Linked DNA regions of Rattus norvegicus. The protein of the gene in region 4 purifies or fractionates together with the protein of the main gene of each other region. This does not show direct contact. Links are inferred from orthologs where the notes say so. Each region holds a gene or a part of one and is shown on either strand. Other genes may lie near its edges. The genes, in order: Peli2, Sqstm1, Vangl2, Dvl2, Vangl1, Plk1 and Csnk1d.

Evidence for each region.
Region 1: the proteins of Dvl2 (region 4) and Peli2 purify together in Homo sapiens (affinity purification with western blotting; 3 studies listed by BioGRID, with this or other methods). This does not show direct contact. The link is inferred for Rattus norvegicus from reciprocal best matches to the Homo sapiens genes DVL2 and PELI2.
Region 2: the proteins of Dvl2 (region 4) and Sqstm1 purify together in Homo sapiens (affinity purification with western blotting; 3 studies listed by BioGRID, with this or other methods). This does not show direct contact. The link is inferred for Rattus norvegicus from reciprocal best matches to the Homo sapiens genes DVL2 and SQSTM1.
Region 3: the proteins of Dvl2 (region 4) and Vangl2 purify together in Homo sapiens (affinity purification with mass spectrometry; 4 studies listed by BioGRID and IntAct, with this or other methods). This does not show direct contact. The link is inferred for Rattus norvegicus from reciprocal best matches to the Homo sapiens genes DVL2 and VANGL2.
Region 5: the proteins of Dvl2 (region 4) and Vangl1 purify together in Homo sapiens (affinity purification with mass spectrometry; 4 studies listed by BioGRID and IntAct, with this or other methods). This does not show direct contact. The link is inferred for Rattus norvegicus from reciprocal best matches to the Homo sapiens genes DVL2 and VANGL1.
Region 6: the proteins of Dvl2 (region 4) and Plk1 purify together in Homo sapiens (affinity purification with mass spectrometry; 6 studies listed by BioGRID and IntAct, with this or other methods). This does not show direct contact. The link is inferred for Rattus norvegicus from reciprocal best matches to the Homo sapiens genes DVL2 and PLK1.
Region 7: the proteins of Dvl2 (region 4) and Csnk1d purify together in Homo sapiens (affinity purification with mass spectrometry; 3 studies listed by BioGRID and IntAct, with this or other methods). This does not show direct contact. The link is inferred for Rattus norvegicus from reciprocal best matches to the Homo sapiens genes DVL2 and CSNK1D.

What each region holds. Positions count from the first base shown.
Region 1 is NC_086033.1:24,005,484-24,008,983, forward strand, and holds part of Peli2 (E3 ubiquitin-protein ligase pellino homolog 2), read left to right. Parts: intron 1-1,162; coding exon 1,163-1,357; intron 1,358-3,019; coding exon 3,020-3,208; intron 3,209-3,500. UniProt on the Homo sapiens protein: E3 ubiquitin ligase catalyzing the covalent attachment of ubiquitin moieties onto substrate proteins. Involved in the TLR and IL-1 signaling pathways via interaction with the complex containing IRAK kinases and TRAF6.
Region 2 is NC_086028.1:35,034,951-35,039,221, reverse strand, and holds the start of Sqstm1 (sequestosome-1), read left to right. Parts: upstream 1-1,471; 5' UTR 1,472-1,505; coding exon 1,506-1,704; intron 1,705-3,662; coding exon 3,663-3,758; intron 3,759-3,999; coding exon 4,000-4,226; intron 4,227-4,271. UniProt on the Homo sapiens protein: Molecular adapter required for selective macroautophagy (aggrephagy) by acting as a bridge between polyubiquitinated proteins and autophagosomes.
Region 3 is NC_086031.1:86,997,771-87,001,270, reverse strand, and holds the end of Vangl2 (vang-like protein 2), read left to right. Parts: intron 1-901; coding exon 902-1,133; intron 1,134-2,433; coding exon 2,434-2,694; 3' UTR 2,695-3,351; downstream 3,352-3,500. UniProt on the Homo sapiens protein: Involved in the control of early morphogenesis and patterning of both axial midline structures and the development of neural plate. Plays a role in the regulation of planar cell polarity, particularly in the orientation of stereociliary bundles in the cochlea.
Region 4 is NC_086028.1:55,225,286-55,228,645, forward strand, and holds part of Dvl2 (segment polarity protein dishevelled homolog DVL-2), read left to right. Parts: intron 1-992; coding exon 993-1,062; intron 1,063-1,337; coding exon 1,338-1,483; intron 1,484-1,591; coding exon 1,592-1,701; intron 1,702-1,818; coding exon 1,819-1,954; intron 1,955-2,103; coding exon 2,104-2,194; intron 2,195-2,311; coding exon 2,312-2,381; intron 2,382-2,466; coding exon 2,467-2,606; intron 2,607-2,684; coding exon 2,685-2,761; intron 2,762-3,360.
Region 5 is NC_086020.1:192,284,599-192,288,098, reverse strand, and holds part of Vangl1 (vang-like protein 1), read left to right. Parts: intron 1-1,028; coding exon 1,029-1,162; intron 1,163-2,127; coding exon of another isoform or gene 2,128-2,166; intron 2,167-2,470; coding exon 2,471-2,603; intron 2,604-3,500.
Region 6 is NC_086019.1:186,146,525-186,150,457, forward strand, and holds the start of Plk1 (serine/threonine-protein kinase PLK1), read left to right. Parts: upstream 1-1,133; 5' UTR 1,134-1,217; coding exon 1,218-1,625; intron 1,626-2,173; coding exon 2,174-2,342; intron 2,343-3,087; coding exon 3,088-3,232; intron 3,233-3,873; coding exon 3,874-3,933. UniProt on the Homo sapiens protein: Serine/threonine-protein kinase that performs several important functions throughout M phase of the cell cycle, including the regulation of centrosome maturation and spindle assembly, the removal of cohesins from chromosome arms, the inactivation of anaphase-promoting complex/cyclosome (APC/C) inhibitors, and the regulation of mitotic exit and cytokinesis.
Region 7 is NC_086028.1:106,751,889-106,755,946, reverse strand, and holds the start of Csnk1d (casein kinase I isoform delta), read left to right. Parts: upstream 1-1,258; 5' UTR 1,259-1,307; coding exon 1,308-1,383; exon of another isoform or gene 1,384-4,058. UniProt on the Homo sapiens protein: Essential serine/threonine-protein kinase that regulates diverse cellular growth and survival processes including Wnt signaling, DNA repair and circadian rhythms. It can phosphorylate a large number of proteins.

The DNA.
Region 1 (3,500 bases), on a different chromosome or scaffold from region 4:
GTTTAATATCCCATCCTGAGGATTTTCCAACCCATAAGCAAACGTGTCTTCTAGTTCACAGGGGAAGGTGGAATCTACTGAACGGGAAAGGCCCTGTTAGAACTCTTAAGATTCTCTTAAAATTCAATCTCTTGGCAGTGTTGACGTCTCACCAAGGAAAGGAAGACACTGTGATATTGGTAGCAACGTTTAGACTTCCCCGGAGAAGTTTCTTTTTAATCCATTCATGAATTTCTAAGAAGCGCTTTTTAAATTTTTTCACTCATATTCTGAGCTCTAGACTGACTAGGATAAGCGCCCATCCCCTGTTCTTAGGTTGACTGAGTGATGGCAGCTTTGTCCCTCTGTCTCAGAGTAAGAAGGGCTTTGTTCCTGCAGGTCTGTGTTTAAGTCAAGGGCTCTGACTCACGGAATCCAGCAAGCACAGTTCCTTTGTTCCTCTAAAGGTTTGAGACCACCTAAAATAGAAAACCAAGAGTGATTGGCTGTAAAAATATTTCCAAGTGGATCCGAGATAGAAAATCCAACATCATTCTCCAAGAATAGAAAGTTGAGCTTTCTCGTGATATTTAAAATGGGTAGACTAACAGACATAACGTTGCAGTATACAAAATGAGTAAGACCAGGGAGTCTAGGCTATAGCATAATACCTGTAGTCCTGCGTGTTTATATATGTCCGTCTCAGGCTGAGGAGAGAGCTCAGTCGGTAAGCTACTCACCTCTCTACCAAGGGTAGTGAAGTGATGTGTGTAATCTCAGTGCCGGGGGCAGAAACAGGAGGCTCACTGCTGCTGGCTCACAGGCCGCCATGCCAGACTGGGGAACAGCAGGCAATGAGAGCGTCTCAGGAGGTAGACGGCATCTTTGACGATGACAGCCTTAGTTGGGTTCTGGCCTCTGTGTGCGTGTCGGTCTGCACACAAAACACACAGGGCATGTGGGGCGAGGCGGGGGCGTGGAGATCTCACTCACTGTCCATAGTAGGATAAAATGAAGTGGAGTTTTAAAAGAGATCTGGTTGCCGTCTACCATAAATTCTCTCTCCAGTAACAAGAAAGGGCATGGTTAAGCGGAGATGATGAAGGTGACAGGGTTCTGGGCCTCTGTCCCTGTGAACGCAACGTTTTTTCATGCGCGTCATGAGAATGTTTGGTTCCTTCAGGTGGGCAGGTCAACAGAAAGTCCCATCGACTTCGTGGTCACAGACACGGTTTCCGGCGGTCAGAACGACGATGCCCAGATCACACAGAGCACCATCTCTAGGTTTGCCTGCAGGATCGTGTGCGACAGGAACGAGCCATACACAGCACGCATATTCGCAGCAGGGTTCGATTCTTCCAAAAATATATTCCTCGGCGTAAGTACTGTGACTGTACTCTGGTTTCAGGCTCACATCCACTACTGTGATAGGAACTTACTTTGGGGGGAATTTGCTTTGTATGGAGGCTGTAGTTAGATTTTTTATTTATTTTTTTTTTAAGTTTTAGTTTTCAGCCCGAGAAGGCTGCGGTAAAGACCTGAGGATAATTTGAAGCCTGGCCACATGCACCCAGCCCTCGGGAGAAAGAAGCGGGAGGGTTATAAGTTCAAGGCCAGCCTGTACAGCATAGAGAGATGCCGCCTCAGTGAAAAGAAGATCCATAGATTACTCCGTCGTTGTTGTTGTGTTTGCGGTATAAGTTATAATGTACACAGTAATTATTTTAAAGGCGTGTATGTTAGCATTATGTATAACACATTTGCGGTGAATTTGAGAGGTTTATTTCAAAGGGGAAAATGAGCTGCTAAATTTTAACTCCTTAGAGCTGGAAGGAAAGAAACTGTCAGTGAACTAACTGTTCACAGAAAGGCGAGTGTTTGCTGTATCCCGTCCTGTATGTGGTATGTCGTAACAAAGAGAAAGCCCTTCCCTCGTGGGGTATCTTGATAAACAAACCCCAAAAGCTTTAGTGACTATCCTGCCTTGATACAAATACCTCTAGAATCAGAATATTGTTGCAGGGAGTAATTGTCCATTGTGACCTAAAGGATAACATGACAGGAAGTGCCGTGGAAGGCCAGTCCAGCACAGGATGATGTCGCGGTCCTGTGACATCTTGGGCCTTGTTTTCTGTGTCTTGCCCACTGTCTCTGCCGGCACACCAGCCACTTGGGCTTTGAGAGGAGAGGGAGGTCTGCTTCTGAGTGTGCCACCCTCTCCTGAGCTTTCGGACATCAGTGGTCCGGGGTCTTAGGGAGCCTGGGACTGCTCTGATGGGTTTGTACTAAGCAGGGCTTTGATCCCCTTGCCCTGCCTCATGGTCCCGGAAGCAGGAGGGGCGTCAAAGCAGCACAGAAGCCGGAGCAGTCTGTCCCATCACTGTCCGCCCTGGGGACAGGCACAGCCATTTGCGTGGAAACACACCGGCCCCCACATTACTGGCTTAACATTTTTTGTTTTAATTTTGAACCTTTAATAAAATTGAAGAATATTGTTTCTTTCTGTATCCAGATCTCGAGTGTATGTAAAACAGTTGTAGGTCCCTGGGTGAGAGCAGGCAGAAGTGAGGCCAAAGAAAGGGAGTGGAGGCTTAGATGCCAGGCTCGACACAGGGGAGGAGAATCCCTCAGTGAGGAGGTCAGGTACCAGGTATGTTTAAACTCCCGAGGAGAGTGTCATGCGTGGCCAGAGATGAACCTTTCCGCCTCAAACAGTTTAACACCTCTCCTGGCATCGTACCAGCACACTGCACTCCGCTTATCAGCTTTAAATAGAGAGTAAAGTCCCTCACCTCTCTCCCACCTTTTCAGGGAACTTTGTTTCTCAATGCAGTGTTTCTCTGTGTGGCCCCGGCAGTCCTGTAACTCACTCGTTCTGTGGGCCAGGCTGGCCTCGAACTCAGAGAACCACCTGTTTCCGACTCCCAAGTGCTAGGATGAAAGGCGCGCACCACTATGGCCGACTGGCTTTCCCTGTATTTTAGGAGGCTCCGTGCGTTCCCTTAGCAAGCTTACTCTGGTCTGTGGTGTCGTTCCCCAGGAGAAGGCGGCAAAGTGGAAAAACCCTGGCGGGCACATGGACGGACTCACCACCAACGGCGTCCTGGTAATGCACCCAAGAGGAGGCTTCACGGATGAGTCCCAGCCCGGAGTCTGGAGAGAGATCTCCGTCTGTGGAGACGTGTACACCTTGAGGGAGACCAGGTCGGCCCAGCAGAGGGGGAAGCTGGTGAGTTGGGCTCCGCTCTGGAAAATGCACGCAGGCACTTCATGGTGCCCATCGCTTCCCCGCTGATAACGCTCAGAACCTTCGTGTGGGGTAGGAGGTGCCATTTTCTGATCCAGAAACGATCCCCTGAGCTCCGGAGAGTTGGAGGGGTCCGGCTGTCCTCTCCTCGTAGCTGGCCATTTCTGTGTGCACGTGTGTTATTTTTCACTCCCGGCCGCCGTGAGAAGACAGTCGTTAATCGTGTTTATCACTGCAGAATTCATCGTTCCCCATGATACTGTACTAAGCCAGA
Region 2 (4,271 bases), about 20 Mb from region 4:
CTATGCAAGCCTGGGCCTAGCCTTCAATTTGAATTCCTCCTGACTCAGCTTCCCAAGTGCTGGGATTACAGATGTGTGTCATCATGCTAGCTAACAGGTCACTTTTGCCACAGAAAGCAGCATTTCCTGGTTTTGGCCTTCGTGCTGAGGGTTGAACCTAAGATGTGACATATACCAGGCAGGTACTCTGTCACTGAGCACCAAATCCTTATGCACCAAATCCCCATTAGTGGTGTCCCCCTGGGTATATCCATGCTAAGCTAAATCCTCATGAACTGTGTCCCTACTAAGCTAAAATCCCCCTGGGTATATCCATGCTAAGCTAAATTCCCATGACCTGTATCCCTACTAAGCTAAATCTCCCTGAGTATATCCATGCTAAGCTAAATCCCCATGAGTTGTATCCTAACTAAACTGCATAGACAGCCTCTTTATTTTGCCCCCCCCCCCCCTTTTTTTGAGAGGCTTCTTGTAGCCAAGGCTGGCTTTGAACTCCGGAACCTCTGGCCTCCCAAGTACTCAGATCACTTTCTAGTTTGAAACAGCTTCACCAAGCTGCTCAGGCAGACCCTGAACTTGGTATTCTCTTGCCTCAGCATCTCAAACAGCTGGGATAACAAGTCTGTGTCACAGGACTGGCTAAAGCCTGTATTTTAGTTCCTAGTTGGAGGGCAAGTGGTCTGATTCCTTTGTGCTCTTTGAAGCCACTAAGGCCTGAGATACATGCTCCTTCCCCTCCGCCCTTAGAGCCTGTGTGCTGTGGTGTGTGTGTGTGTGTGTGTGTGTGTGTGTGTGTGTGTATTATGTGGGTTGTTGTGAGGAATCTCAGTCTTAGTAGTGGTGACTATTGCAGTTTCTGGAGCCCTGGCTACCCCTCCTACAGGGTGGGTTTGTGAGAAGTCACCAGTGCTAGTCCAACATCCAGTCTTTGTCAAATTGGATCAGGCCTAACATATGGATGATGTCCCTTTATTCAGTGAGGGGCTGGTCATGGTGGATGCCTGAAGAGAGAGTAGGGTGGAGGGCTACTACGGGGGACACTAAGTTTGGGAGGGTTGGAACAGTATCCCGTGAAACAGCTTGTTTGGCCAAGGAATGGCTACCTGACAGTAGGCATCTGTGTCGTCTGAGCCTCTGTGCTGGGGCATCCATCCCCCTTGGCTTGGGGACTACACTGCTGAGTCATAAGCAGGCCCAAACCTGGGAGGAGCCTAGGCTCGGATACTTACCGGCCCTTTTCCCATCGAACTGAGACTGAGGCTGGTCTCTTGGGGTCACCCATGCATTCGGAGGGAAAGAAAAAGAGGAGGCGGTGGGGGCGTCTCGCCCCCATACCTGTCAGGGGTCCTATCAAGGGCCCTCGAGCGGCCGCCCGGACAGCGGGGAGGGGCGGAGCTCAGAGAGGTTCCGCCCCCCACGAGGCGGGGCTCCCCCCGTATCCTATAAAAGCTGGGCTCTCGGAGCCGCCGCTGCCCAGCTGTTTCCTCCGTACCTAGTCTGCGGTTATGGCTTCGCTCACGGTGAAGGCCTATCTACTGGGCAAGGAGGAGGCGGCCCGCGAGATCCGCCGCTTCAGCTTCTGCTTCAGCCCGGAGCCGGAGGCGGAAGCCGCGGCTGGCCCGGGGCCCTGCGAGAGGCTGCTGAGCCGGGTGGCTGTGCTGTTCCCCGCGCTGCGGCCTGGAGGCTTTCAGGCGCACTACCGCGGTAAGGGCTCGGGGCGGGGAAGCCATCCTCCCCCGCCGCGGAGTATCAGGTCTGGGCGAGGACGCGATGGCGTGTCCTCTGGCTGCCCGCGGGGACAGGGTGGTCAGGCGGCCGCTCAGGTTACAGCTGACATCCCGCGGTTCGCTTGCTCCTCGTATCATCAGGTGATGGGTTCAGTTAAAGGCCCGGAAGAGCTGGGACCGGGCAGATGTGGAGGAGGGGTGGAGAGCAGTGACGCGGGTAAATAAGCGGCGGGGGCGGGGTGGGGCAGCCCGTGGGAAGGGAGGTAGGGGACCCCGGAACTAGCTCCGTCTCTTGCGTTGCAGTGGTTGATGGCTGCATGGGGTGGAGCTAGAAGTTGTTGACAAGAGACTAGTGGACAAGGCCCTCCCCCTGGGAGGGGATAAGATTGAGATCTCTTTATGGAGGACTGTGGGTAGGCCAGGTTGGTTGATCAGTCTGTCTCTTTTCTGAGATAAAGCCACGTAGCCTGATTCGCCTTGAATTTACGAGTGGTTTAGGCTGGCCTCACTTCAATCCTCTTGTCTCAGCTTTCCAGTGCAGGAATCATAGGGATTATTCTGGACAAAAAATGTTCAGTGTAAGTGAGTTTTAACCTAGGTCCAGTACAATTCACCCAGGTCTTAATGTCCTTCCGAGTCATCTTTGTGCTAGGGCCTCATGTATGTTAGGCTCTCGACTGACTGAGCTACCACCCCGCCCCCCAAACTCCTTGCATTTTTTAAAAAGTGAGTTATATAACTATTATCACATTCGGTTTAGAATCTTTTTTTTTTTTATAAATTTTACGTGTGTGTGTGTATAGCCTAGCCTGATACACACACACACACACACACACACACACACATATATGTATATATATATATATATCCTAGCCTGCAGATGTGTGGTTTGTCCTGTATGAGGTGGTTGAAGACTGTTTGTACTGACATAGAAATATATGGCTGCGCTCCCAGTACCTGTGTGCTAATGTAAAAATGAAAGCAGATGGGTTTGAGAAATGACTCAGTGGTTAAAGCCTTTGCTGCTCTTCCAGAGGACCCAAGTTCTGTTCCTAGCGCTCATATCAACTGCAGCTCCTGGGGATCCCACACCCTCTTATGGCCTTCGTGGCACATGCATACACATAAGTGTGCATGTGTGTATGTGTGTGTGTGTGTCTGTGTGTTCAAGTGCGTACATACATATGTAAAAGTAAATATCAAAAGGCAAAAAAGAAAAAAAACCCAAAAAAACCCAAACCACTTGGCAGCTTGGTTGCATATGTTTGTGATCCCAGCACTAAGGAGGCTCACCTACACAAGTTGGAGGCTGTCCTGTTCTAAGCAGTCTCAGGCCAGGCAGGGCGCAGAAAACCTAGAATTGACAAAAACAAAACCAACAGAGCAACCTCAACCTCAGAACAACTTAGACAGCGTCTGAATGCACAGTGGTTTCTGGTCACGTAGTTGAAGGGAGGGGACAGATGGGCTTACCTCCTTTCCTTCTGAAGCCTGAGGCCTTTGAAGGGCTGGACCATCAGGACAGGGTACTGGCTGGAATCTCCCAGGTGAAAATGGACCTGGCCTACTTACGTGTGGCCTGAGGGCACAAATGGCCCAGTGGTTTGTGGCAGGAAGCTGGACCCTTACACACATGACATATGCTCTGCCTTGTGCATGTACCGGATCTAGGACTTGGGTTAGAACATGTACTCACGCCATATCAGAATGAGTGGCCATCTGGCTGCTTGCTCCAGCACTCAGATTGCGTCTAGAGCCTCTGTAGATGTCCCTTACCATTGGGCTCCCTGTACATAGCAGTGGGCATCCAGCAGATGCTGGGTACCTGTGCTGCCCTTTCGGCTTCTAGTTCTGGGAATGGCACCTAAGTCTTCTGCACGCTCCACCAATGAGCTGTGTCCCTGGCTCTGATATGTTGTTTCCTAAACAATCTAGATGAGGATGGGGACTTGGTCGCCTTCTCCAGTGATGAGGAACTGACAATGGCCATGTCCTATGTGAAAGATGACATCTTCCGCATCTACATTAAAGGTAAAGACTGCATCCAGGTACTTCCCATCGGACTTCCTCTAAGGCTCAGGGGTCTGAGTTGTCTCTAGGACAGAGATGAGTTCTGATGCCTTGGGGTGGATATAGGGGGGTTGGGAGGTGTCAGAGGTACAAAGGTCCTGCTGTGTGGGCCATGGGTGTTGAACAGAGCAGGGCTTGGTACCTCTTGGCCTCCTAAGTGGTTTACCTGCAACTAAATTGGACTCTTGGACTCTCCCTGCAGAGAAGAAGGAGTGCCGGCGGGAACATCGCCCCCCATGTGCTCAGGAGGCACGAAGCATGGTGCACCCCAACGTGATTTGTGATGGTTGCAATGGGCCTGTGGTGGGAACTCGCTATAAGTGCAGTGTGTGCCCCGACTACGACCTGTGCAGCGTCTGCGAGGGGAAGGGCCTGCACAGGGAGCACAGCAAGCTCATCTTTCCCAACCCCTTTGGCCACCTCTCTGATGTGAGCTGGTTCTCTGCAGTCCTGGGGCGGTGTCGGACAGGGTGG
Region 3 (3,500 bases), on a different chromosome or scaffold from region 4:
TGGCTTGTTCTAACAGGAGCCGGCTCTGTCTGACTTTTGCCACCTACAGAGAAGACTGGTTTTCAGGCCCAATAGGATATATTGGCCCAATAGGATATAACACCTCAGCTGTTGTCCCTCAGGTGTCCTCCATTTTGCTTTTTGAGATGGTATCTTTAGTGCTCTGGAGCTCATCAAGTAGGCTAGACTAAGCTGGCTGGGTTCCAGGTCCTGGGGACGTGCCTGCCTCTGCGTCCCTCCTTGGATTTTTTGGGGTGGTGTGGGGAGGAGACAGGGTCTTAGTGTTAGCCCTGGCTGGCCTGGAACTTCCTATGTATACCAGCCTGATCTGCGTATATCCTTCCACCCGAGTCAGGTGTCAGCACCCCTGTGCTATTGCGACTGAATAGAAATGCCATGGCACCCTGCCAAGCCTGATGACCTGAGTTCAAATCCCCAGAATGAACCGATATGTTGGAAAGGGAGAACGGACTCCTCTAAGCCACATAGAGGGCGTGTGCATGCCCCGACCCACATAAATAACACGCTACTGCCACCACTTCTACTAACGCCCTTTCCCTTTAGTTACATGTATTCATTTTTCACACAGTGTAGTGTAGTGTGGTGTGGAGCCTTTTCCTAGGTCTCATGGGATACTCGGCCCTTTCTGCAGCTTAGTTCCTGAGTGCCATTCTGGATTTGATGCTAGGCTCATTCACTGTAAGTCCCTAGCCTGATCCCACTCAGTACGACTGTTTCTTGCTGCTTGTGGGCTTCTCTGGGCACTTGGCTTCACATGGACTTCTGTTACTTCCGGGAGAGCACAGAGGCCTGATCTCACTCTGGCTGCCGCAGTCAGAGCCGGTGGGTAGAGGGTAGGATGAGCAGTGGGCACCTGGTCCAGATACTGTCTGTCCCCCAGGCTGGTGGTGGCTGTGGAGGAGGCCTTCACACACATTAAGCGGCTGCAGGAAGAGGAGCAGAAGAACCCCAGGGAGGTGATGGACCCCCGGGAAGCAGCCCAAGCCATCTTTGCATCCATGGCCCGAGCCATGCAGAAGTACCTTCGCACCACGAAACAGCAGCCTTACCACACCATGGAGAGCATCCTTCAGCACCTGGAGTTCTGCATCACCCACGACATGACACCCAAGGTAGGCAGGCCTGCTGCTCCCAGACCTTGCTTGTAATCTTTCGTATTCACCACTCTTTCTCCTTCCTGTTCTTTGCCTCTTCTTGGGAATCTCTTTTCCTGTCCCCATCCCATCTGTTTTGTCTCTGTGGAGCAGAGGAGGAGGCAAGGGCCAACTTCGGAACTATTGGGGGATTTCAGAGGCCTGTTTTCTCATTTTTAGCAGGCCCTAGGATTTCTACCCAAGTCTTACAGCTTTACCTTCCTTACCCCTTCATCCCCAAAGGGAAGCTTTTACCTCTGCTTACTTTTAGCTATTGGCTTTCCTCAGCCCAGTTGCCTGCTCCCTAGAATGGCTCTCATGGAGACTTTTTTGTTGAGTGGGTGATAGAGAGAGTGAGAGGCTGAGAATGTAGCTCAGTGGTATGGCAGGCCTGAGTTCTTGATTTCAGTTACGTGTGTGTGTGTGTGTGTGTGTGTGTGTGTGTGTGTGTGTGCGCATGTGTGTGTGCGTGTGCGTGCATGTGTGTGTGTGTGCGCGTGTGCGTGCATGTGCGTGTGTGCGTGTGTGTGCGTGTGTGTGTGTGCGTGTGCGTGCATGTGCGTGTGTGCGTGTGTGTGTGCGTGTGTGTGCATGTGTGTGTGCGTGTGTGCGTGCGTGTGCGCGTGCGTGTGCGTGCATGTGTGTGCGTGTGTGTGTGCGCATGTGTGTGCATGTGTGTGTGCGTGTGTGTGTGCGTGTGCGTGCATGTGCGTGTGTGCGTGTGTGTGAGTGTGTGTGCATGTGTGTATGCGCGTGCGTGTGCGCGTGCGTGTGCGTGCATGTGTGTGTGTGTGTGCGTGTGTGTGCATGTGTGTGCGTGTGCGTGCATGTGTGTGTGTGCGTGTGCGTGCATGTGCGTGCGTGTGTGTGTGTGTGTGTGTCTGTGCGTGCACGCACGCACACACACAGTGTTGCACTTGAATCTTTGCTTAGCCCACTTCCCTCCTAGTGTAGACCTGCATGGTTCTAGTCATGGCAACTGTATGGAAGGGAAGGAGGAGAGAAGGAAAAATGAGGTTCAAGTTACCCTGGGCACAGTTGGGCGAAGGATGGCGTGAGTTCTGGTCCTGGCTGGAACTGTATCGCTTCGGTGCATGTCAGCATCCCCATGTATACGTGAAGCGTCTCTCCAGCTCTCTTCTGCGCTCACATTTGAAGATACTAGTTCATGTGTACAGTATGAGCTCAGACACAGCCTAGCTATCTTAGAAAGCTGCGTCTCAGATGAAGGGTGGATGGGTGGAAGAGATACCAAAACAGTATCTTTTGTCCTCCTCAGGCCTTCCTGGAGCGGTATCTGGCCGCTGGACCCACCATCCAGTACCACAAGGAACGTTGGCTGGCCAAGCAGTGGACATTGGTGAGCGAGGAGCCGGTGACCAATGGGCTTAAGGACGGCATTGTTTTCCTCTTAAAGCGCCAGGACTTCAGCTTGGTGGTGAGCACCAAGAAGGTGCCCTTCTTCAAACTTTCCGAGGAATTCGTGGATCCCAAGTCACATAAGTTTGTCATGCGGCTGCAGTCGGAGACCTCTGTGTGACTTTGCAGCAGCCCAGAGGGAGGGATGTGGGGGTTCCTGCGGAGTGGGAGGGGCTTGGTTCTCAGGCCCTGACACATTTCTGCCATCCTACTTCCTCTTGCTCTTGCTTTGTTTTGTGTTTTTTTTGTTTTTTTTGTTTTTTTGTTTTTTACTTGAATTAACTTATCCTGTACCCAGTCTCCTCCCCTATCCCTCAGTTTCCCCATCTGGAAATCTGGAGAGAACACCTTGCTTTAACAATACCTGGGAACCATCCTGCCCCCTAATTTTGTATCACTCCAGGCCCTGCAGGAAACAGTGCCTAATAACTACCCCCAAACCCCTGTTCTTCCCCCCAGAATGTTCCCTGGATGGAAGCCCCTTCCAAACGTGTTCAGGGCCTTCCTGATTGTACCCTTGCCTCCTGAGCTCCAACTTATAAACGTATGTTCTTAGAGCCATGCTCTCTAGTGGCCCCTGATAGGGTTTCTCTTGAAGGCACAGCTCTGACCCCAGAGAACCATGGTGCCAAATTCCTGTGGGACAGCAGCTAACGCTGTCCCCCATCCTCACCCTTAGCCCCAAGTCTCTGGGCACAATGTACCTGTGACATAGTCCCAGAGTTAGGATTCTCCTTGTAGTCTTGCTCTCCAGTGTTACAGCTGTAGTTCCTGGTATACACACACACACACACACACACACACACACACACACACACACACACACAGAACAAGGGGAAGTGTGGTCTTGTACCCAGGAGTCTTTACTGCTGTTTCTGACTTGTATGGTCATGTGATCATAGGCAAATGGAGGTAGAACCTCTCTGA
Region 4 (3,360 bases):
CAAAAGCCACACATTTGGGCAGGTTCTGGATGTGAATTAGAGAGAACTAAAATGCAGAGGAACAGCAGCAGATTACATGAGGACCAGAGGCTTTTATGGGACAGATGTGTAGGACAGAGACGGTTAGGCTGCCTGCCAGCCAGACTCCTAAGTTAGGTATCTGGAGCAGTTGTTGGGAACTGTCCCAGAGGGAATTTGGAGTGGTACTATGAGGTTTGGATCAAATGGGAAGAAGTCTTTTTAGCGGCACTGTGCCTCTACAGATGAGTGGGGGAGGAGGGGGTCTTGGGATAAAATAAGGAGAGTCTGGGATTACTTCACTGTAAAAGCAGAGGAGCCAGGCATGGTGAGGCATGCTAGCCATGCGGCATAGCTAGTTTTGGTGACATATGCCTTTAATACCAGGATGGAGAGGCAGAGGCAGGCAGATCTCTATGAGTTTGAGGCCAACCAGGGATACAGCTCGCTGGCTCTCTCTCTCTCTCTCTCTCTCTCTCTCTCTCTCTCTCAGGGATACAGCTCGCTGGCTCTCTCTCTCTCTCTCTCTCTCTCTCTCACACACACACACACACACACACACACTAACTCTGCTGTGCTTGGACTGGATGGAGATTGGGAGAGACTTGGAATGAGATTCGGAATGGGGGTGACCAGTTTAGCCTTACTAATCCCCTCTCCCTGTTTTTTGAGACAGGGTTTCTTTGTGGCGCCCTGGCTGTCCTGGTACTCTCTCTCTCTGTAAACTAGGCTGGCCTCAAACTCAGGTTACCTACTTCTTCTTCCAGAATGCTGAAATTAAAGGCACGTGCCACCACCATCCAGCTTCTGTGTGTGTGTGTGTGTGTGTGTGTGTGTGTGTGTGTGTGTGTGTGTGTGTGTGTGTGTAAAACCCTGGCTCACTGAGTGCCTCCTGCCTCGGCCTCCCATGTGTTAGAGTTGAAGGTGTACCCTATCACACCTGGCTCTTAGTAATGGCTCTTCTCTCTCTGCAGGGTGGTGAAGGAAGAGATCTCTGACGACAGTGCCCGCCTACCTTGCTTCAATGGAAGGGTTGTCTCCTGGGTAAGGGACTCGTTACCAAGCTGCTTCCAACCTCAGTCTATCTCGGCACACCCCACACACCCCCACCCCCGCATGCTCAGTCACTGGTGGCCCTGGCTTCCCTCTTTTCTACTTGTGGATGCAGTGAGCATTCCTCAGCCTTTTCTTCCTGTAGCCTCGCATACTGGCCCAGGTCTCTGGGACCCTGTTCCCTTTCTTTCTGGTCCTCTTCCTTTACTCTTTTCTCGTAAAGCACTTCCCAGTGGAGCCATGTTTTCTCACTTACACTCCCCTAGCTGGTGTCATCAGAGAGCCCCCAGCCTGAGACAGCGCCCCCTGCCCATGAGTCTCGGACAGAACTGGTTCCTCCACCTCCACCATTACCCCCTTTGCCACCAGAAAGGACCAGTGGCATTGGGGACTCAAGGCCTCCATCCTTCCAGTGAGTCTTTTACGGTTTTGAATCCAGGGGAGGGGAGCGAAGAGGGGAGACTGAGGATCCGGTGCTCTGTCCTTCTGACTTTGGTTGAAACTCTCTCTACCTGTGTAGCCCTAATGTATCCAGTAGCCATGAAAATCTAGAGCCTGAGACAGAAACTGAATCCGTCGTATCACTGAGACGAGACCGACCTAGGAGGAGAGACAGCAGTGAGCATGGCGGTGAGGGGTCAGGCCCTGGAGGCAGGGTAGACTGTGAGCTGGGCAGGGAGGCAAGCCTCAGCATGCCGAGCATGAAGAATGGGAGGCCTGGCTCCTGACACGTTTGTTTATACACAGCTGGTGGCCACAGGCCTGGCGTCCCCTCAAGGCTGGAGCGCCACCTGGCTGGGTATGAGAGCTCTTCCACCCTCATGACCAGCGAACTGGAAAGTACCAGCTTAGGAGATTCAGATGAGGATGACAGCATGAGTAGGTATGGCTTCACACATCTCTCCTCTGCCCGCCCTCGCCCGAGGCGCTCGCCCCTTGTCCTCCCTCCTTCCTAGCCAATCTTCTTGTTTCCTGTGACTCCCTGACCACTTCCACCCCCAAATGCTCTGCTTCTCTCTCAATTGCTATCAGGTTCAGCAGCTCCACTGAGCAGAGCAGTGCCTCCCGCCTCCTCAAGCGCCACCGAAGGCGAAGGAAGCAGCGGCCGCCACGCATGGAGAGGGTGAGGGTTCTTTTGGGAGAAGTAGGCTTTACTTTAGCTGGCCCTCTGACACAGGCTTGTGGCTTATGTCTCTGTTGATGGGGAGCAGTTCACATCTTCCCTGTCTTCTTTCTGCAGACCTCATCCTTCAGCAGTGTCACAGATTCTACAATGTCTCTCAACATCATCACAGTCACACTCAACATGGGTATGGAGGGTCCTGATGGCAGATGGGAAGGAGAGGGTCTCAGGGTTTCTGGGGCTCAGTCCCCTCATATGGCCTCCCTCCACAGAGAAATACAACTTCCTGGGTATCTCCATTGTGGGCCAAAGTAACGAGCGTGGTGACGGAGGCATCTATATAGGCTCCATCATGAAAGGGGGAGCGGTGGCTGCAGATGGGCGGATCGAGCCTGGAGACATGCTTTTGCAGGTGTGTTGACTGGCAGCTGGCTTGGGCAGAGGCTCTGCCTGTTGCACACTGCCTGTGACCCACTGCCCTTCCTTGCAGGTAAACGACATGAACTTTGAGAACATGAGCAATGACGATGCTGTGCGGGTGCTGAGAGACATTGTACACAAGCCAGGGTAAGTCTGTGCTGCGTCTGCTCCTTAGGCCTCGACATTGTACACAGACTATGTTACTCCAGGCAGAGTTGGGCTTTCTAAGCTTGGGACAGCCTGATTTACATAGTGAGTTCCAGACCAGCTAGGTCTACATAGTGGAGAAAAAAAACAACAAAAAACCAGTGCTATAGAGATGGCTCAGGGGTTAAGAGCACTGACTGCTTTTCTAAAGGTCTTAAGATCAAATCCCAGCAACCACATGGTGGTTCACAACCATCTGTAATGGGATCTGATGCCCTCTTCTGATGTGTGTGAAGATAGCTATAGTGTACTCGTATACATAAGATAAATAAGTCTTTAAAAACAAAACAAAAAACCTCCCAAAATTGCAAATCTCGATGGCATGTCACTTCAAACTAAAGCATGAAACAGGTGTGGGTGAGTACCTCAGAAAAGGCCACCCACTGTGTGCTCCTTTCCACTCCCACCCTCCTCACTGACGGTAATTACCGTCTTGGCTTCTTTGGTCAAGAAAACCTTTAATGGTTTTCCACCCATGCCTGAGTCCTGGAACAAGATGGTGTGGTGTTACCTGTTTGAGGCTTCCTGTGAATGAGCTG
Region 5 (3,500 bases), on a different chromosome or scaffold from region 4:
GCTCCCAGCATGCTCCTTGGGTATGGATTATCACCTGGGCTCCAAAATGGTAGCTTAGAGTTCTCACCTGCTGAGTGTCCCAGACAGCATTTGAAGGATGGGAGCTCCTGAGGATCTTAAGACTCGGAATATCTTAGCTGAAGCCTCATTTGAAGGACTCTGCCCCATAGGGAGAACATTGCTGTAACATGAGAGACCAGTTCCTTAGACCTGGGACAGGGTCCTCTGTGTGTGTGTGTGTGTGTGTGTGTGTGTGTGTGTGTGTGTGTGTGTAATGAGAAGCTTTGACCTCTCATTCTTTTTTTTTTTAAGATTTATTTTATTTATTATATATATAAGTACACTGTAGCTGTCTTCAGATACACCAGAAGGGGGCATCAGATCTCTTTACAGATGGTTGTGAGCCACCATGTGGTTGCTGGGAATTGAACTCATGACCTCTGGAAGAGCAGTCGGGTGCTCTTAACCACTGAGCCATCTCTCCAGCCCGACCTCTCATTCTTGATCCCTGTGAGCAACATCAAACTTCCTACCTTTCAGGGAAGGGGCTTCTTAATTTCCTTCCTTCCTTTTTCTTCCTCCTCTTCCTCCTTCTTCCTCTTCCTCTTCATTTTCCTCTTCTGCTCCCCCTTCCTCCTCCTCCTCCTCCTCCTCTTCTTCTTCTCTTTCCTCCTCCTCTCCTCCCTTTTTCTCCCTCCTCTTCCTCTTCCCTCTCTTCCTCCTCCTCTTCTTTTTTGTAAACTAAGGGACAAACAGGAAAAGCTCTGTGTACCCCAAACCTAAATCTCAGTTACAGGTTGTAACTTTCTCCTCTTCCAGCTACTGGCAGGATGGTATGAGGGGAATGCCAGAGCCTGGGAGAGGGGAGGAAGCCATTAACAGTGGGAGACATGGGGAGGGTAGGAACCAGCAGATGCCCCTGGGAGTGCTACCTTGATTTACAATTGACCTGACTCAAATAGACTTCTCATTTCAGCCCCACTGTATTCCCTGAAAACCCCGCATTCATGTTTGCCCTCATCTCACAGCATCCAGCGAGCAGCCTTGGTGGTTCTGGAAAATTACTACAAGGACTTCACTATCTATAACCCGAACCTCCTAACAGCATCCAAATTCCGAGCAGCCAAGCACATGGCTGGCCTGAAAGTCTACAATGTAGATGGTATGTGCTTGAAACCATTTGTGGGGTGTGGGGGTCACAGATCCTTTTAGTACATTCGCTTCTACCTACTCTGTGCTTCCTTACAGTCTTTTCTCGCTTCAGAACAATTTCTATTTGTAGTTTAAATGTAGACAAGCATGTTTTCTAGGGGAATGTCAGTTTACAGTCTGCATATATGGCAGGTCCATCCATTTGGAGATTTTGCTATTGGAACCTGTAGCTGTGTTTCCTGCCTCCCGCTAGGAACGGTGTAGATTGAAGGTCCTTAGGAAAGGAACACTTTTCAAAGTCTGAACAGTCTACCCAAAGACTGAGGGTGCTCTCAAAGGGCATTAGGCCTAGAAATGTTGAGAGCTCCCATAACTGGGAGCTCCTCTGTGGCTTCTCAGTCCTGGCTCGGAACGGGAGTTGAATGACAACCAGAAGCTGGAGCCAGCCTCACCAAGTCGGAGCCCAGATTCATTCAGGGTGTCGGGTGCTCAAGTGTGAGAAACAGGACTCCCTGTCACGTCTTGCTGGGCACCTTGGCTAAGACAAGAGCTTTGCAGACTCCTGAAGACATTCGTGTTGTCAACAAGTCAGCTGGTTTACATAGGTGTCAGTTTTTGGTAATGGTATCCCGTCTAACTTTTTTTTCCAAATTTGGCTATGTAAGGTGTATAGCTGATAAGCCAAACCCTTAATGGGAAAACTTAGCTTACCAAGTCACCCAGAAGAAAGAATTAGGCCCTGGCTGTGTCTCTGCGATAGGCTAAGCCGAGTCATGCTCAGGACCTCTGGGCCGTTTCACAAATGGGGTGCATTGTGGTTGCTGGGCTTTGGTGTTCGGGGCAGTAACACCCGGCTTAGCTTGTTTTCCTGTGTGTGATCACTGTAAGTGTCCCTTGACTTCTTTTTTCTCTGTCTGTCCTTGTTCTCCCATCCTGCCCATTCTCTCTCATTGTCTGCTGCATGCGATGTCCCAGCTGCCCTTATGGCCAAACTGAAACTTTGTGTAGCAGATGGTAAGTGACCTCTTCAGCACGCTCCCCGGCGGGTGTTGTTCTTGGCCGGTGTTTTCAGGGGTGAGCAGTCTGTGGCTCCTTCAGAGTTCTTTCTCCATCTCCCTATCAGACTGGGGTTAGAGCTCCTGGCTGCTGTGATTGTGGAGTACTGCGCAGGCCCAGGGAAGTTACTTTTAAGATCTCTGTGTGCTCTGTAGCGGGATGGGTGGGAAAGAACCAGCAGACCACAGACCCTGGTGCTGGTTCTCTGTCCAGCTTCCTGGCGTTTGAGGGTAAAGCTGTCTGTATTCTCCTTTCATCAAAGGGCCCAGTAACAATGCCACTGGTCAGTCCCGAGCCATGATCGCTGCAGCAGCTCGGCGCAGGGACTCCAGCCACAACGAGTTGTATTATGAAGAGGCCGAACACGAGCGGAGGGTGAAGAAGCGGAGAGCGAGGTTTGTGACCCTGCACGCCTGGGCCCTCCTCCCGCTGGACATTTTATTTTCACTTTTTTTTTCTTTTAGCTTCCAGAATTAATTTTCTGTTTGTACGCATGACCTGTATGACTGTTTACAGACCACTTTACTCTGACGTTTCTAAGACTTTGTATGAAATCACCAGCTCTAAACAGCCATCACAGGTCCTGGGCCCACTCACAAAGCTTACCGCACAGTCTGTGGGTCTGAGCCCCGGGGGTGGTGGTAGTGGATGGGAGGGTATGTTGGGGGTGGGAACGAATTCCCTGGGGGCTTCTGTTGCTGCCCTTGGAGGGGGCCAGCCCTACCCATACTCTTTCCCATGGGAACTGAAGGTGACAAAGGTGGCTTCCCTTAAGCCTGCCACCTCATTCTTCCTTTTCCTGAGTTGCTGGGGGGAGGGTTGGGGAAAGGTGGAACAAGGGGGCTGAAACTCTGTTTGCTTCTTCTTTCTTTCTTTCTTTCTTTCTTTCTTTCTTTCTTTCTTTCTTTCTTTCTTCCGCCCAACAAGGCTTTGAATGCTCTGTATAACTGAAGATAATATTGAACTTTTTAAAAAAAAAAACCTTTTTTAAACATCTCTGTGTGTGTGTGTGTGTGTACATGTGTGTGTATATGTGTATGTCCGTGTTCACATCCATGTATGCCACAGTGAATATGTGGAAAGTGTGACTTTTGGGGATTGGTTCTTTGTCTTCTACCACATGGCCTCCAGAGGTCAAATTCAGGTTGTCAGGTTTAGCCCAAGCACCCTTACCCTGACCCATCCTGTCAGCCCGCCTTCACCTTCTGAGTGCTGGAGCACAGGCATGCGTCACCGTGTGGGGCTGGGGACTGGCCCCAGGTCTGGCGGTACTGAACAAACCATCTGCCACC
Region 6 (3,933 bases), on a different chromosome or scaffold from region 4:
AGCTTGGGCTTATTCAGAAAGCATTTAGTACAATCGTTTGCAAGGCACTGGGAAAGACAGCAGCACTGCCGTTTTTGCTCAATCCAGCAATAGGATCTTGCTAAGACCCTCCTGGGGAACTAGAGGAACACAGCTTCTAACGGAAGGTATCACTAAAGTGCCCACAGAAACCAGCAGGCAAGTGGGCAAAGAAGATGTCTGGGAATAGTGGCCAGAGTTGACTTTTTTTTTTTTTTCCAGGAAAAGCCACACACCTGCTCTGTGTGGCCACTCTTTTTACATGTTGTAAATCCATTTATTTTCTAAATGAAGGCCGAACTGAACACTTCTGCAGGGCCGACTTGGGTCTAACCACCACCCCCACCTCTGACTAAAAGTTGTCTCTATTTGGGGCTTTGGGCCACACAGCTGAGGACAAGCTTGTATCCCAGGGCGGACGTCTGGTGTTTCTTACATGTCATCTGAATCATCTGAAAGTCTTGTTTGACTGGCAGGTCATGCCTGGAAAGTTTCTTTCCTTTGGGGTTAGCGGAGAGGTAGCTGAAGCTGACCTAGGCTAATCTGTAGTCTTGAACCCACGCCTCTCCTTTGCCTTCCTCGGTAATTCCCAGGTGCTGCAGATGCTACTGGCCCCTGGGTTGTTCAGACGAAGGCTTGAGCTACATTTCAGGGGCTGAGAGCTACTGCCACAGAGGCTGCCGGTCGGTTGCGCTGTGAAGGTGCATCTGCCTGCTAGTCGTGCCAGTGGTGGCGGTGCACTCCCAAGCTACCTCTTGACCTGGAGTTTCAGTTCTAGAAGGCCAGGTCGGGCGGAGGAAGGTGTTAGATCTTAATAGTTAGGAGAAGCCTCTGGAGGAGGCGCAGGTGAACCACATGAGCACGCCCCGGCCGAGGAGCAGAAAGCAGGACCGAATCCTGTTCTCCTAGGGATCTCTACCTAGTTCATTCGTTCCTGGTTTCCCAGGCAATCTAGAGTGCACTCTATCCTCCAGTACAAATTTCTCGCCCGCAAGATCGGGGTTTAAAGGCGGCTGCGCCGTAGAGCACTCCCATGGTGCCGCGCGCTGGGCGGGTTTGTATTTTAAATCCCCGCGGCCAATCAGCAACGCGCAGGCCCTTGTAACGTTCCCAGCGCTGCGTTTGAATTCGGGGAGGAGCGGAGCAGAGCAGGATCCTCTGCACCTACCCGGCCAGGTCCGTGGAGCAACATCGGCATCATGAATGCAGCGGCCAAAGCTGGAAAGCTGGCTCGAGCACCAGCCGACCTAGGGAAAGGTGGGGTCCCGGGAGACGCAGCTCCCGGTGCCCCAGGGGCCGCCCCGCTGGCGAAAGAGATTCCGGAGGTCCTGATGGATCCACGCAGCCGGCGGCAGTATGTACGGGGCCGCTTTCTGGGTAAAGGAGGCTTCGCCAAATGCTTCGAAATCTCAGACTCAGACACAAAAGAGGTGTTCGCAGGCAAGATCGTGCCTAAGTCTTTGCTGCTCAAGCCCCATCAGAAGGAGAAAATGTCTATGGAGATCTCCATTCACCGCAGCCTCGCACACCAGCACGTCGTAGGCTTCCATGGCTTTTTTGAGGACAGCGACTTTGTGTTCGTGGTTTTGGAGCTCTGTCGCAGGAGGGTAAGTGTTTCTGGGGCTCCTACACCTGGAACTTGCTGGCAAAGTGGCACCGAGGTTTTGGAGTGGCCTAGAGGAGTGTTTGGGTTTTATTTAAGCTGTTATGGAAAGGCTTCTAGCGACGGTACTTGGCACTCCGGATCCTGTTGCTATTAGTGAAGGGGCTCCTAGACGCAAGGCTGTGAGTGGGTACAGGAAATGGATGCGTAAATTGGCTAAGGAAGGGTTCCAGGCTTGAGGTGCCGAGGATCTCGAACTTCCGGAGTGAGGCAAGGTCGGGGGAGGGGGCGGCTGTTTGGAGTCAGACCTTAGAGCTTTCAGGAAAGGGAGGGGATCTCCTGCCAGGAGGAAGCCCTGGGATAGGGGATCGAGAGTGGGGTTGAGAGAAGACTCTGTATAAGGGCACTAGTTAAGAGGGTCCGGTGAATGATAGTGACGAGTTTATGGGCAGAGCTATCAGAAACCTGCCAAAACTCTCCACTCCGAGCGCCTAGTTGGCCATATTAAGCTGGCCACCCTACTTGGGCCTCAGTGACCTCTTTCCTCCTCAGTCTCTCCTGGAGCTGCACAAAAGGAGGAAGGCGCTGACCGAGCCCGAGGCCCGATACTACCTGCGGCAGATAGTCCTGGGTTGCCAGTACCTGCACCGCAATCAAGTCATTCACAGGGACCTCAAACTGGGCAACCTCTTTCTGAATGAGGATCTGGAGGTGAAAATAGGTGAGGTGCTGGGCCTGCGGGTGCCTGTGCCAGCCAGCACAAGAGTCGGGAAGGAGGGGAAGGCTGGGAGGAGGGAAAGAGAAGTGCTGCCCTCTGGAAAGGAAATGGAGGGGGGTGTTGCCTTTTTTAGATACATTGCTGTGCCTCAACTCAGTAGTTTTGAACTTGGGGTGCCTCCCCAAATACTCTTTATCCCCTAGCATTGAGCCAGACCCTCAGCCAATTTCTTTTTTAAACAGGAGATGGGGGACATAAGCTATAGGGCATGGCAGGCGGTATCTCCTCAGCTGTCCCCTTGAGTCTGACTTGCCAGTCCCTAGATCCCTGTCACTTCTTCACACACTTGCTCAGCAGCAATCACGAGATCACTTACTTGATTCTCCAGTGCATTTAACTTTATTTATATGAGGGATGGAGACAGGTTAACTTCAAGGAGTCCGTTCTCTCTTCCACTGTGTGGGTTCCAGGATCCTGACTCAGGTCATCATCAGCCTTGGCGGCAAGCCCCTTTACCTCCTGAGCCATGTTACCTAACCTTAACCCTGCTATCTAAAGAGGGGTTAAAGGGCAGTGGGAGGCCAGCTAGGGCCAGTACAGTGTGTGTGTGTGGGGGGGGGGGGGTGTTCCGGGACTATGGGGGTCTCAAGCCACTAAGTTGTCAATGCTCAGGCTTGAAACAGCTGTTTGCAACCTTAGACAGCTGATCTAAGTAGCTGAGCACCCTCTCTTCTTCCCTCTGTCCCAGGGGATTTTGGCCTGGCAACAAAAGTGGAATATGAAGGGGAACGGAAGAAGACCCTGTGTGGCACTCCTAACTACATAGCTCCCGAGGTGCTGAGCAAGAAGGGACACAGCTTTGAGGTGGACGTGTGGTCCATTGGGTGCATCATGTAAGTTGGCAATGAACTTGGGCTTCTGGGCCTCAGCAGGAGTCTCTGGGGCATCTCACCCAGTTGACCTTACCAAGTGGATCTTTCTACCTTACAGAAAGGCTGTTTTAGAGGACAGGCTGCCCCACATGAAACCCTGGTTTTCATGTCAGTCTGGCATAGGCTGTGGGGATCCCTGTAACTTGGACTTGTTTAAAAGCAGTCATAGACCAAAATCATCAACACCTGAGAGCTTGTTAGGAATTCAGAATCTGAGATCTGAACCTGGGTTTAATACAATCCCTGCCTGATTTTCCATGAAAATCAGGAAGCCCTGCTGAGTGCTGATGGGAGAGTTAGGCCAGCAGATAGTCTGGTGGTAAGCAGAACCCCCACCATGGTGGCCTCTGGAACCCTTGGAGAGTCCTCTGTCACTGCAGGCCAGAGCCAGGCAATCCCTGACACCTCGGAATCCAGGTGTTTTCACTTGCATTCTTCCTAGTGCTTGCCCAGCCTTTGGTTGCTGGGCAGACTTGGAGAGCATCCCATCCTTTCCCAGTCAGTGAATCCAGCACAGCTTCCCCAACTCTGGTCCCAAGACAATGACTTCTACATTTGGATTTTCCTTGGAGTTTGAACAGAATTCCTCCTTGTATCCCCAGGTATACCTTGCTGGTGGGCAAGCCACCTTTTGAGACCTCATGCCTAAAAGAGACCTACCT
Region 7 (4,058 bases), about 52 Mb from region 4:
GCCAGGAGACTAGGAGACATATGAGCTCCGTGTGTTTCTGCAGGGCAATCGCTGAACTGCTTCTCTTGCCCACGAGGCAGGCGGTGCTGAGGTGACAGCAGATTTACACCCTGTGCAGAGAGCTCTAATGTAAGCATTCCCTTGATCTATGACTCTTCTGTTCCTAGCTGGGTGGGAGTGGGCCTAGAGAAGCATCTATTTGGAAGGTTGTCCCCTCCTGGTTAGGGTGCACCTCCTGTGTGGTGGCTCCTCCATAGGCCCTCCCCAGTGGTCAGAATGGACAGCCAAGTCTTGGAAGCTGGCCTCCGGCCTGAACTTCAGAATTCATGTTTGTGTTTGTCAGGAAGAACATTCAGATCCAATACAGACCAGATAAAAATGTTGACTTGTTCTCCAGGCAGATGGCCCTGGAGAGAGACCAGGGTCGGGACGTGCGCTCTACACTCTCTGTGAATTCAACATTCACCTTCCTGCCCACCCAGGAAGGGGTCCCAGGAAGACTACTTTACTTCCACCCTTGATGTGTAAGAAGCTGGCAGGCAGCAGCAGGCACGTTTTTGCACCATTCAAAGCCCAGGACTGGTGATTCCTACAAAAGCTAATCGTCCAGGTCTGCCTGGACCGCCTTCTCTGCCCTGTTACCCTATCTGCAAAGGGCCTTTCCCGGGGTTTACAAAAGAAACTGCTTGCTGTTTGGCTTCTTGGTATACGTGGTGTGTTTAGGGGTCAGGGTCTCTGTGCCCCAGGCTGGTCTCGAACTCCCGAGAGCTGGAACTACAGGCATTCCTTACCACACATAGCTTAGCTTCCTCAGACTTCTGTTGGAGACAGATAGGAAGACCAAAGTGACCAGCTGTAGTCATCCTTCGGGAACGGCGGATACTGGGACAGAGAAACAGGCCTGGTTGCGACTGCGCAATCCATCAAGTAGCCAAGCCCCGCCCCCGAGCACGGTGGCCCCCGCCCCCTTGGGTTGCTAGGGGAAGTGACGTCACAGCGCGATGGCGGCGGCTCCTTTAGGCAGCTGAAGGGGGATTTAGGCCCGGAAGATCCGAGTCCATCCGCGGCGGGGAGAGGGCGAGCGGGGCCGGCAGGGGCCGGAGCAGCGGCGGCGGCGCTCGGACTGTCCCATCCGCCCCGTATTGAGGCGCTGAGAGCGACGGGGCGACCAGAAAGCGATGGTGAAAGCGGGGCCGTGAGGGGGGCGGAGTCGGACCGGACCCGCAGTAGCGGCAGCAGCGGCGCCGCCTCCCGGAGCGCAGACCCAGGAAGCGGCCGGGCGGGCAGTAGCGAGCCGCACCGCTGCCATGGAGCTGAGGGTCGGGAACAGGTACCGACTGGGCCGCAAGATCGGCAGCGGCTCCTTCGGAGACATCTATCTCGGTGAGGCCCAGCGCCATCGAGCACCGGGGAGTCTTGCGGGTCGGCGGGCGGGGTCCCCGGCAGGCCGAGGCCTGCGCAGGGCCGTAGTGGACACTCGGCCGCTCGGCATCTCCGCAGTCCGAGGGCCCGGCCACTGGCCGTGGCCAGACACCAACGGCCGCTGTGCGAGCGCGGCCGGGGGGCTGGGCGCGGCAGGTCGGGTGGGGTGCGGGGAAGGGCTGGGGGACAGCTGGGCTTGGGGACTGCAGGACCGTGGGTGAAGAGCTCGGAGCGTGTCTGGGGAGTGGTCGGGGACCCGGGAGAGGAAGAACAAGGCCTAGAGGCGGGGGGCAGCGGGCCTTGGCCAGAGGTTGTGGGGTGTCAGAGGGCGTGGGAAAAGGACAGCGGGCCTGGGCCGGGGGGCAGCGAGGAGGGGGAGGGGAGAGCGGGGCAAGGGAAGGCATCGCGCTGAGGGTGGGGCTCGGAGGGGCAGGGCCTGGGCCGGGCGTCAGCATCCTCCCCCACCTAAGGTCACCGCGGTAAACAAAGGCCATGCTCTACTCTGAAAAAGGGTCTGGTACTGTTCCTCATCCCTGCAGTGTGGTCCTGGATGTTTTCCTGCGTGTGGGAGAGATGTCAAAACAATCCAAATGTAGTGTGGAGGTGGGGAGTGTCCCAGTCAGAAATGGGGAAATGACCGGCTGATTTCTAAGAGTTCTTGGGGCTGTCTGGGCCTGCCCTTTTCCACAATGGTATCTCCAGTTAGCTGACCCGCTGAAGGGATCACCCATAGCCTCCTGGTTGCCACCTTAACTCCAAAACAGGACTGAAAATGTTCCCTGTGCCTGGCCTGAAAGGCCTTGGTTTGGCTGGGGTCTTCAGGATATGTTGAGCATCTAAGTTGACTCCTGGACACCTGGAAATCAACAGGAATGAAGTTTTGATTAATGCAGATACATTCAGTGTCAAGATGTTGGCAGAATAGAGGGGAGACAAGCGGTGTGAAAGTTCTCATGGCGGCTTTCAGAACTCTAAAGGTAGACATGAGAATCCTAGACTTGGGGTTAAACTATCCTGGGTTATGTCCACCTTAATATGGTGAAAGGCTATGCATGTATATACGTGTGATTAAAGGTTTGCTTAAACCCGGTAGTTGGGATTTTTAAACTACCCCCTGCATTTATTAGAATTATAAGTTATTCCAAAGCCCCTTGGTACTTGGAGCTTTCTGGTGGTGAACATCCTGTTAGAGGTAACCGTGTTCTGTTGAACAGTAGCCCATCTCCAGCATTTGTTTGGCTGTTGTATCTCTAATGGAGAGTCAGTAAGAAGCAATGCTTTGGGCCTCACCTTTCAAGCTTCCCAAGTTTAACAGCTTGTACTCTAACTCCTCTTAGGACCTTGGTAGCTGGCCGTGTTGGGTGAGCAACTGTCCCATTTGGGTAGCTCATAAGTACGTATGGTGCCTGGTTAGGCTAACCCTGCGATGTGCTACATCAATGCCTTTGAACCTGAACTTCTTGCCAGAGTGGTCTGATGAGTAAAATATGCTTTAGAGAGACTTAGGGTTTGCTTACTTAAATATTTATATCCAAGGAGTCAGCCAGATGCCTTCTCGGCAGTGTTTGGGAGTCAAAAGTGCTGGGTAAATTGGAGCTGTTTGACTTATTTTTAGAACAATAGATTTTGGCAGAAGTTTAACCTCAGGATATAGGAGCTATACTGAAAACCAATCCATTAGCCACCCTTTCGTGGGCATTAGAAAATAGGTATTTTGAAACTTTTTGTTCCCTGAGATTTTGCCAAAAGGTTTTGTTCTTTCTGAAGATTGGTTCTAACAACCATTTGTGCTATGGTGGTCATGTGTCGTTCAGAGATGTAAATCCTTCTCCAGGAGAGTGCAAGCTGTGTCTGGGGTTGCACCTTACTCAGTCACATCCCTTCTGCCCCACCTGGTTCCTACAGCCCTAAAAAAGAGAAAGAAAAAAATCACCTCCATCCGGAGCAGGGGGACGCCAGGGACAGGACAAAGGGCTGAAAGACTGTCTTGAACCAGCGAATACACATCCTGGGCAGGGTCTTCTACAGTGTGTAGGTGGTGGCTGGCTTAGACATAGGCCTGGGCACAGCAGCTGATCATGTGAGCTAACCTTTTCCAGAAAGTTTTAATTTGGTGACTCCTCTGTTATGCTCCAAGATGGACACTGGGTTAGGGTTAGAGTCACTGGCTTATCTGTTATGGTATGAGTTTTGTTGTTGTTTTGTTTAAGACATGGTCTTACTATGTAGCACTGGCTGGCCTTGAACTCAGAGATCTACCTTGTGAGTGCTGTGTGCCAACATGCTGGCCTCACAGTGTGCTTTCTGTCAGGGATTAGGCACTGCCAGTCTTCTCTCTTTCCACTTGGCTCTCATCACTGTCCTTTCAAGCTACCTTGGGGAACTGAGCATGAACTGAGCGATTCAGAGTAAGATAGGCTAGAAAAGCAGGTCTGCAAGACAATTGGAGACAGAGGACCTGAAGACAGCGGATGGGTTGGCTCACCCATACCATACATAGGTCAAGAGCCACGTGAGTATGAGTGGAGTTGGATCCTCATCTTGAAGTCTGTGTGACATGCATTCTGGTGCAAGTGTAGTTGAAAAATATTCCTAAAACTCCTCTTTGGTATTCCTCATAAGGCACTTTATTCTTC